Linked DNA regions of Oryctolagus cuniculus. Each later gene encodes a partner of the first gene's protein in a complex. Links are inferred from orthologs where the notes say so. Each region holds a gene or a part of one and is shown in the gene's direction. Other genes may lie near its edges. The genes, in order: NUP58 and NUP62.

The links.
Region 2: NUP58 (region 1) and NUP62 share a complex: the UniProt entries of both Homo sapiens proteins name them as parts of the p62 complex. The link is inferred for Oryctolagus cuniculus from reciprocal best matches to the Homo sapiens genes NUP58 and NUP62.

What each region holds. Positions count from the first base shown.
Region 1 is NC_091440.1:95,338,323-95,342,126, forward strand, and holds part of NUP58 (nucleoporin p58/p45), read left to right. Parts: intron 1-790; coding exon 791-928; intron 929-1,341; coding exon 1,342-1,452; intron 1,453-3,804. UniProt on the Homo sapiens protein: Component of the nuclear pore complex, a complex required for the trafficking across the nuclear membrane.
Region 2 is NC_091449.1:7,660,605-7,665,026, forward strand, and holds the start of NUP62 (nuclear pore glycoprotein p62), read left to right. Parts: upstream 1-1,431; 5' UTR 1,432-1,541; coding exon 1,542-1,567; intron 1,568-4,422. Other genes in the region: collagen, type I, alpha 1b-like, read right to left, coding at 1-298, 1,075-1,131. UniProt on the Homo sapiens protein: Essential component of the nuclear pore complex. The N-terminal is probably involved in nucleocytoplasmic transport.

The sequences.
Region 1 (3,804 bases):
GCTGCCTTGGGATTGGCACAGCTCCAGCCGTTGTGGCCAATTGGGGGGCGGACCAGTGAATGGAAGACCTACCTATCTACCTCTCTCTCTCTCTCTCTCTCTGCCTATCCTCTCTGTGTAACTTTGACTTTCAAATAAATAAATAAGTCTAAGAAAAAAAATTAAAATATTTCCTGTAAAAGTGAAGGAGGTAGAATTTGAACCAGGTATTCCAAAGTGGGATACGGATATCCTAAATGGCAACTTTACTACTGTACCATATACCCACTCCTATTCAGCAATTTTGACCTACTTAATTGTTGATTTGTAAGGGTCAGAAGTCAGCACTAGGCATTAAAACAGCAGACCCAATGGTCTCTGTAGTTAGAGTATAGCAGGGCAGGAGAGGGTCAGAGAGATAAAATGTAAAGCTACTGATGTCTTGTTTTCAAGGAGCCATTTGGTGACAGAAGGATAAACACTTTGCATAAGCCTTGCCTGCTTTAAGATTCATTTAATTTTGAAGATGAAGGTGGTGACCTGGATTAAAACATTTTTTTTTACTGCTTTCTGGAATCAGCTATTTGGTACCATTCTAATAACGATCCAAAGCCTTTATTTCTGCCAGTGATTTTTGCTGTGAAGTTACTATTTCTCTTTATTCTTATAAGTATGTATAATTTTATTTTTAGCAAGCAGTTTTTCCAAAGTCAATTCTTACGGAAATAATTTTTTGTTTTGTTTCTTGGGTTTTTCTATGGTGTTCTTAAATACTGTTGCCTGTAGAAGGCTTATTGTTTCAATTTTGTAGCATCCACAGGGTTTACTCTGAATAGTTTGAGTGGAACAGCAGCCACAACTACAACTGCATCCACAGGCCTTTCTCTAGGCGGCGGCTTAACTGGTTTGGGAGGTTCGCTTTTCCAGGGCACAAACACAGCTACATCAGGTAATTGATGGCACTTATTCTTCAGAATGGTAAATTTTTATATTTAAGTTTAGTTTATCCTTCTCTTGGCCTTTTGTGCAGATTGCTTGTTCTTTTTACTGAGTTATAAAATGTTTTTTATATATAATTCAACATCTTTGCTGTATTTTAGAAATACATTTTACTCTTTTCTCAGTATTCTCTGATTGATTAGGAAGTGAAAAGAGCCTGTTTAATAGGGAGCCTGTAAACTGTTCCAGAGAATCTTGTCTTATATATTAAAATAAGTGGCAGTTAAATAATCTTGGTACATTTACAGCTTAACTCCCTTGTCAGGCAGCTTGCTTTTAAGTCCCAGATCTAGGAATGGCTTTCCATTAAGGATGTTTTAGCTCTTTCAATGAAGCTGGAAATGATGTTTGTTTCATTTGTAGGACTTGGACAGAATGCTTTAGGCTTGACTTTGGGAACTTCAACAGCTACTTCAACTGCAGGCAATGAAGGCCTTGGTGGAATAGATTTTAGCAGTTCATCAGATAAAAAGAGTAAGTAATTTTATGTTCTAACAGTTTGGGAACTTACAGGTTACTAAAAATTCCTGTTTTGAAGAACATTTGTTTTTCAGTAGTACAGTTTTTACTTTTAAGTTTTACATTATCTTCATGTGTCACAGATTGCGTGTGTGTTGACTGTTTAAGGTTTTATGTTTATAGATAACTTAGATTTGAATGTACATGTGGTCTTTTAGCTATCAATATGTATATTGATATATATTTTAAAAAAGGATCATAGTATATATATTGTTATGTAATCTATTCTTTGTCATATAATACATTAGAAGCATTTGTCCATGTCAGTAATTCACTTAGGTGTTTGTTCCTATTTTTTTACTTTGTAGAGAAGTAAGAGAAATGAATAAATTAAGCTCCCTCTCTTTCTTCCCTGCCATCATCGCCCTGTACTCATAGCATGCCTTCGGTGGTGTTGAACAAAGAGAATACATAGGGTTGGATGGTCCCAGTTCTCCTTCATCTGTTACTCATGTCAGGGAATTCTCTTCCTTTTCTCTCTTCTCTTCCATAATATAACCAGTTTCTCTTTTTCTCTAGTAGCTCTGTGTTAATCAGTTAGCTTTGGATGGCAGTTATCAGTGGGATTTAATCAGGTAAAGTGGTAGGAAGCAGCATTCAGTGAAGAGGGACCAGCATGGAGCAAGAGGCCTATTAGAGGTGAGATGGACTGGTAGAATTGTAGGTGTGTCCAGGGACCAGAAAGGTCACATTCCAGAAGTCCTGAAGAGCTTTGTGTGGTACGTTCAGTTTTGTCATTATATTGAGGGCATTCGGAATCTACTGAAGGGTTTTTGTATTGTTTTATTTGAAAGGCAGAGAAAGAGGCAGGCTAGAATATCGCATTTGCTGCTTGATTCCCCTTATGTCCACAAGAGCCAGGCTGAAGTCAGGAGCCAGAAACTCGATACAGGCCCCTCACATGGGTGACAAGGACCTAACTACTTGATTTATCACCTGTTGTTTTCCAGGGTCCGCCTTAGTCGAAAGCTGGAATTGGGCAGCTGGGACTAGAACCCAGGCATACCAATAGAGGATTTGGGAGTCTTAAATGATATCATAACTGCTATATACCAGATGCCTATCCCTACTCAAGGATTTTAAAGAGATTTATATTTTAAGATTAAGAATGTTGTGACAGTCATGTAGAAAAATGTAGAGAAAGGCAAGAATAGATGTGGGGAACTATTAGGAAGTTTTGTAGTAGTTCATGTCTGTTACTGAGGCAAAACTAGATTAATTTCTGTTAATCCAGAAATAAGCCCAAGTTTTATATATACATACTTGTGAGCACATACATTTATAAAGTATAATAAACAATATTAAGCAATACATTAATTTAGAAAATGATGAATTATTTTGAAAAACAAAATTATTTTTATTACTGTCTTATCAAATCTAAAACATTACTTATAAAAGATGGGTGCCAGTTTCAGAAATAAAATACAGAAAAATAAATTATAGTCAGCTGAAAGAGGTAAAAAATGAAATCTCATATCCAAAGGTGAAATGTAAAAGATTGAAAGTAAAATGCTTTATTTTTTTATCCATGTTAGCATTGCTGAAGTCAAGATGTTATTAGTCTATTTTAGAAATTACAAATATATGAAATTGATATCTGAGAGAATTAATCTGTTAAAGTAGTTCATAGAAATCAGTAATAAAAACTTACAAATCATGTGAGTAGGCAGTTCACAAAAGGAGAAGTATATTTGCCTAATAAGCATTTGAAGAGAATGTTTTACTTCACTAGCACCATAAAAATATGAATTATGATTATGATGAAGTGACATGTTTTACCTACATGACCAGCAAAGTTGTTTTTTTCTTAAATATGTACATTTTTGTTCAGGGTGTGATGCAAAAGATACTCTTACTCAAGACAAATGAGAAGGTTCATTGGGACAATTGTTTAAATAAATAGTCAGGTTGGAGCAGTTCAGGTCATTGGATATGGTATTCTGTTCTAAAAGGACCTTAAAAATTATCAGGTAAAGCCGGCGCCGCAGCTCACTAGGCTAATCCTCCGCCTTGCGGCGCCGGCACACCAGGTTCTAGTCCCGGTCGGGGCTCCGGATTCTGTCCCGGTTGCCCCTCTTCCAGGCCAGCTCTCTGCTGTGGCCAGGGAGTGCAGTGGAGGATGGCCCAAGTGCTTGGGCCCTGCACCCCATGGGAGATCAGGATTAGTACCTGGCTCCTGCCATTGGATCAGCGCGGTGCGCCGGCCGCGGCGGCCATTGGAGGGTGAACCAACGGCAAAGGAAGACCTTTCTCTCTCTGTCTCTCTCTCTCTCACTGTCCACTCTGCCTGTCAAAAAAAAAAAAAAA
Region 2 (4,422 bases), on another chromosome or scaffold:
AACAGAATAAGTTCGCTGTATCCAGAACACAGGCGCCCGCGTCCTGGTTAGGGGACCCTGCTCGGCCTCGCCGCACGTGGTGGACGCGGGCATTCGGGCCTTGTTGCCCTCCCCGACCCCTGGCCTCTGCTCGCCCGGACTGCTTTTCAGACAGCACTCGGCCGCCCCCCACCCCTGCCTGAAACGGGGGGCGGCGCGCACTTCCGGCCGGTTCCCAGGAGGGCGTGAGGTTGGGGGCCGCCCTGCCCCAGCCCGGTGGGTCCGGGGCTGTTCTCTGCTGCAGAAGACGCCTGCCTTCCTACCCTGCGCCCCTCCACCTAGAGGTCAGCCCCGGTTCGTCCGGGATCCGGCCTGTCCACTCTGAGCACGTGGTCTCCGGCCGGTCTTCCCGGGCCGAGGTCTCCCGTGGTGGGGGGTGTGTTCCGGCTCCATGGCTGCCCTGGGAGACTTGGCCGGTCTCCCCCACTTGCACGCGCAGGTGTTGGTGGGGTGGCGGCCACGCCGCTGGCGTGGAGGGGGCACGTTCCCCCCCCCCTTATGCACGGGGAGGGGGCACGTAATCTCGCCCCCCGCCCCCTTATGCACGGGGAGGGGGTGTTTAATAAGCCGTGCTTGGGAGTGATGGAGGTTGACAGGGAGGTTGAGAGGTGTACAGCGAGTCTGTGTGGCCTCGCCCAGCGCCCCCGCGAACGTGGTCCTGTGGCACGTTAGTCGCCAGCCCGGGCCAGGAGCCTCGGCACGCCGCCCTCCCTTCACGCCTGTCCCCTCTTCCCCGTTGGGCCTCCACAGCCCCCCTGCTCTGTGGCGGTGGCCCCACACTTGGCCTTGACCGTTTTGAAGACCGTTCGGTACTTTATGGAAAATGCTTCAGCTTTTTAAAATTTATTTGAAAGGCACAGTTACAGGAGGGCTACTGCATCCGCTGGTTCATTCTCCCAACGGCCGCAGTGGCCAGGGCAGAGCCAGGCTGAGGCCAGGAGCCTGGAGCTCCGTGCAGGTCTCCCCCGCGGGTGCAGGGGCCCAGGCGCCCGGGCCGTCTTCTGCGGCCGTCCCGGTGCATCCGCAGGGAGCTGCAGCGGAAGTGGAGCCGCCGGGGCTCGGCTCGGCGCACGGATGAGACGCTGGCGTCATGGCGCAGCTTGGTACGCGGCCTTTGAGGGGGTGGCTGGGTGGGCTGTTTTGAATAACTGGAAGTGCAGATGCCCACCAGGAGAGCCCCGCGTCCCCCCGCCCCCAGCAGCTTGACTCAGTGGTGCTAAGTGGACGCCAGTTAGCGCCCTGCGCTGCTAGTGCGCGGGTGGGGCCTCCGCAGCTGCCTGCCACCCGGGTCGTGGTCTCTGGGGTTGGGGCGCTGGCCCCTTCACTCCTGGGCCGTGGCTGCTGGGACTCCTTTTTTGGTGCGGAGGCACCTGTCGGGGAGTGAGGCGGCCGATTGCAGGCAGGTTGCATCAGCTGTGGCTCTTTGCTGGGAGGAGCGAGAGGATTCTCTGGGGGCCCAGGAGCACCTGGCAACGGCTAGGCTCCCTCCCGCTTAGCCCTGCATGAGGGAGAGGCCCCACGCAGCCTGGTAAGGGGCTCGGAGGGGGAGGGGACCAGCCCCTGTGTGGGGCCCCAAGAATCCAAATGGAGCCTCGGGCGTGGGCCAGCTGCGGAGACCAGGCTGAGGCGCCAGGAAGTAGGAGAGGCGCGCAGAGCCCACCGTCAGGGCCCGGGGCCCTGAGCGGGCTCCAGGCCTGGACCTTCAGCTCACACCTCAGGTTTGCCGAGCTGTGTGGATCCAGCCTGCCCTCCCCTGTCACCTGCGCTGTTGCCGCAGCCCCCCGTGTTTCCCAGTCAAGGTAGCGCTTGGCGTGATGGAAAGGGCCCCAAGTTTTGCATCAGCCAGGACCCAGGTTCCAGTCCCGAGCCTCAGCACGGGTCCGAGCCAGGCGGCCCGCACACCTCCCACCTCCACCGCGTCTGGGGCCCGGCTCAGTGGCCCAGGAGAGCTGCCCTCCTGAGCAGGGCTGGGGGCCGGAAGTGGGGCGGGTGAAGCCCAGCGCCGACGGGGCGCAAGGTCTGTGCGTGTTCACTCATCCCGCTCCGTCCACACTTTGTTCTGTATTGGAGGGCAAGGTCAGGCACCTCCTCCCCAGAATTGTCCCTCACGGCCCCAGGCTGCGACCTTGGAAGTGGTCAGGACATTTTTGTAAAAGATTTCTTTTTTTTTTTTTTTTTTTTTTTTTAATTTGAAAGTCAGAGTTACACAGAGAGAGGGAGAGGTCTTGCCTCTGCTGGTTCACTCCCCAATTGGCCACAACAGCCAGAGCTGCGCCGATCCAAAGCCAGGAGCCAGGAGCTTCTTCCAGGTCTCCCATGCAGGTGCAGGGGCCCAAGGACTTGGGCCATCTTCCACTGCTTTCCCAGGCCACAGCAGAGAGCTGGATCGGAAGTGGAGCAGCCGGGTCTTGAACCAGTGCCCATATGGGATGCTGGAGCTTCAGGCCAGGGCGTTAACCCACTGTGCCACAGCGCCGGCCCCCAAAAGAGTTGTTTTTGCGCAGAAGTTGGAGATTCAATACAGCGGCTGCTGCGCAGGGTCAGGGAGGGTAGCAGTCACGCAGACCAAGGGTGCAGGGGCTGGGGGTGGGCGTCCTGGCAAACAAGGGCAGAAGGCCAAGGCCAGCTCCGCTGCAGAAAGGGCAGCGTGGGGGTGGGCAGGCGGTCAGGCTGCCACGTGGCCGGCGGCTCAGAGTCCCCGCAGGAGCGCTCACAGCCAGGCCAGGCCCCCGCTGCCGAGCTGGCTGGGCATCCTTGCTGTCACCCTCTCTCGGTTTCCTGTTCTACTGTCACAGGTTGCCACGCACTTGGCTCCCTTAGAGCTCTGGAAGGAGGGGACTGAGGTGGTGCACAGCGCTGCGCTCCTGGGGCTCGGGGCAGACGCTCGTCCCCAGCCTGCGAGCCCACCTGTGTCCTTCAGCGGGGGCCTCTTCCTCACCTCCTATCGTGCCGTCGCCTGGCTCCCCCATTGCTCCTCCTGCCTCTCCCTGGAAAGACCTGCGGGCCTGTACGCAGGGCCCGCCTGGGTAACCCAGCGCAGCACCTGTGACACGGAGACAGGAGGAGGGCGGAACTCCAGCTGTGGACTGGCGAGGCCGTTGTGCCGCCTACCCTCCTCCCCGAGCCCCAGGTCCGGGCCTGGGATAGAGGACAGGGCCAGTTCTGGGTTGCTCCGTCCCTTGGCTGCTGTCACTCGCCCTGGTGGCCTGTGCTGCTGTCCCCTCCAGGGAAATGGGGGTGCAAGCAGAACCAGCACCTGGCTCAGCAGGTGAGAGCTGTCCCCCCAGCCCCGTGGGCCTGTGTCGGGGACACAAGGAGTACCTGGGCCCCTGGAACGGCGCAGGTGATGTCTAGGGCTGGCCCATGGTCCAGGAGCGGCTGGTTCCACGGAAACGGAAACGCTGGATTTTTTTTTTTTTCCTGTGAGATCGCAGTCTCAAAGGACAGCGAGTAATTCAGAAGGAACGCGGGAAACCGCAGCCGGTTAATCAGCCAGGGGCTCTGAGCCGGAGGGGCTGGGCGCTCCTGTGGTTGGCACGTGTCCCTGGAAAGGCCTCACAGGACACTTGGGGCCCCCTGGTGGTCCCCCCCAGCAGGTGCATGGGCAGGGCCCTGGGTTCCCTGACTCCTGCCCACCCTGCCACAGCTGGAAGAGTTGGGTGGCAGACGAGAGCAGGGCCCCTCCTCACTCCAAGCCTCTTGGGCCCCAGGGTGGGAGTCCCCTTGGATGCCTCTGTGAGAGCTGAGCTGCCCCAGGAGGTCGTGCGACGACCTGGGGTGTCACAGAGGGTGGGTGGGGTGCTGTGTGGCACCGAGGAGAGGCTAGCTGGGAGCCGGGCTGTGGTCAGAGTCCTAGTGAGCTGTGTGACTTCGGGCAAGGTCCTCAAGTTCTCTAGGCCTCGCTGCGCTTATCTGTGAAGGGGGAGTGACCCCAGTTCCCACCAGTGCAGATAAAGCCCGGAAAAGAGGACCTGTGTCCCTGAGATATTACTGTAGCCATTAGACTGGGGCAGAATCCGTCACCCTGCCCCCCACGCTGGCTGCTTTCCCTGGTTCCCAGAGAAACCTCTCCATGGCAACCCCTCCCTCCCTCCCCCGCTGACATGGTGCCTCTCCCCTGGGGAAGCAGGTGTTGATGAGTGAGGCGGGGTCTTGCCCCGACACGGCCCCTGCCCCCTGCTTCAGCCCCTCTCCAGGTCTCAGTGTGCTGTGCCTGCCCTGGTGGCCCCGATTCACTGCGGGGTTTCAAAACTCTGTCCACACCCCAGCCTGTTCTCACCCGGGTCACCAGCCAGCCCGGAGAGCAGGGTCCTGTTAGGAGCTCCAGCGTCCTCGGGGTGAGCTCCCTGCTCGCCTGCAGCCGCTCCGCTGGCCGCTTGCCCC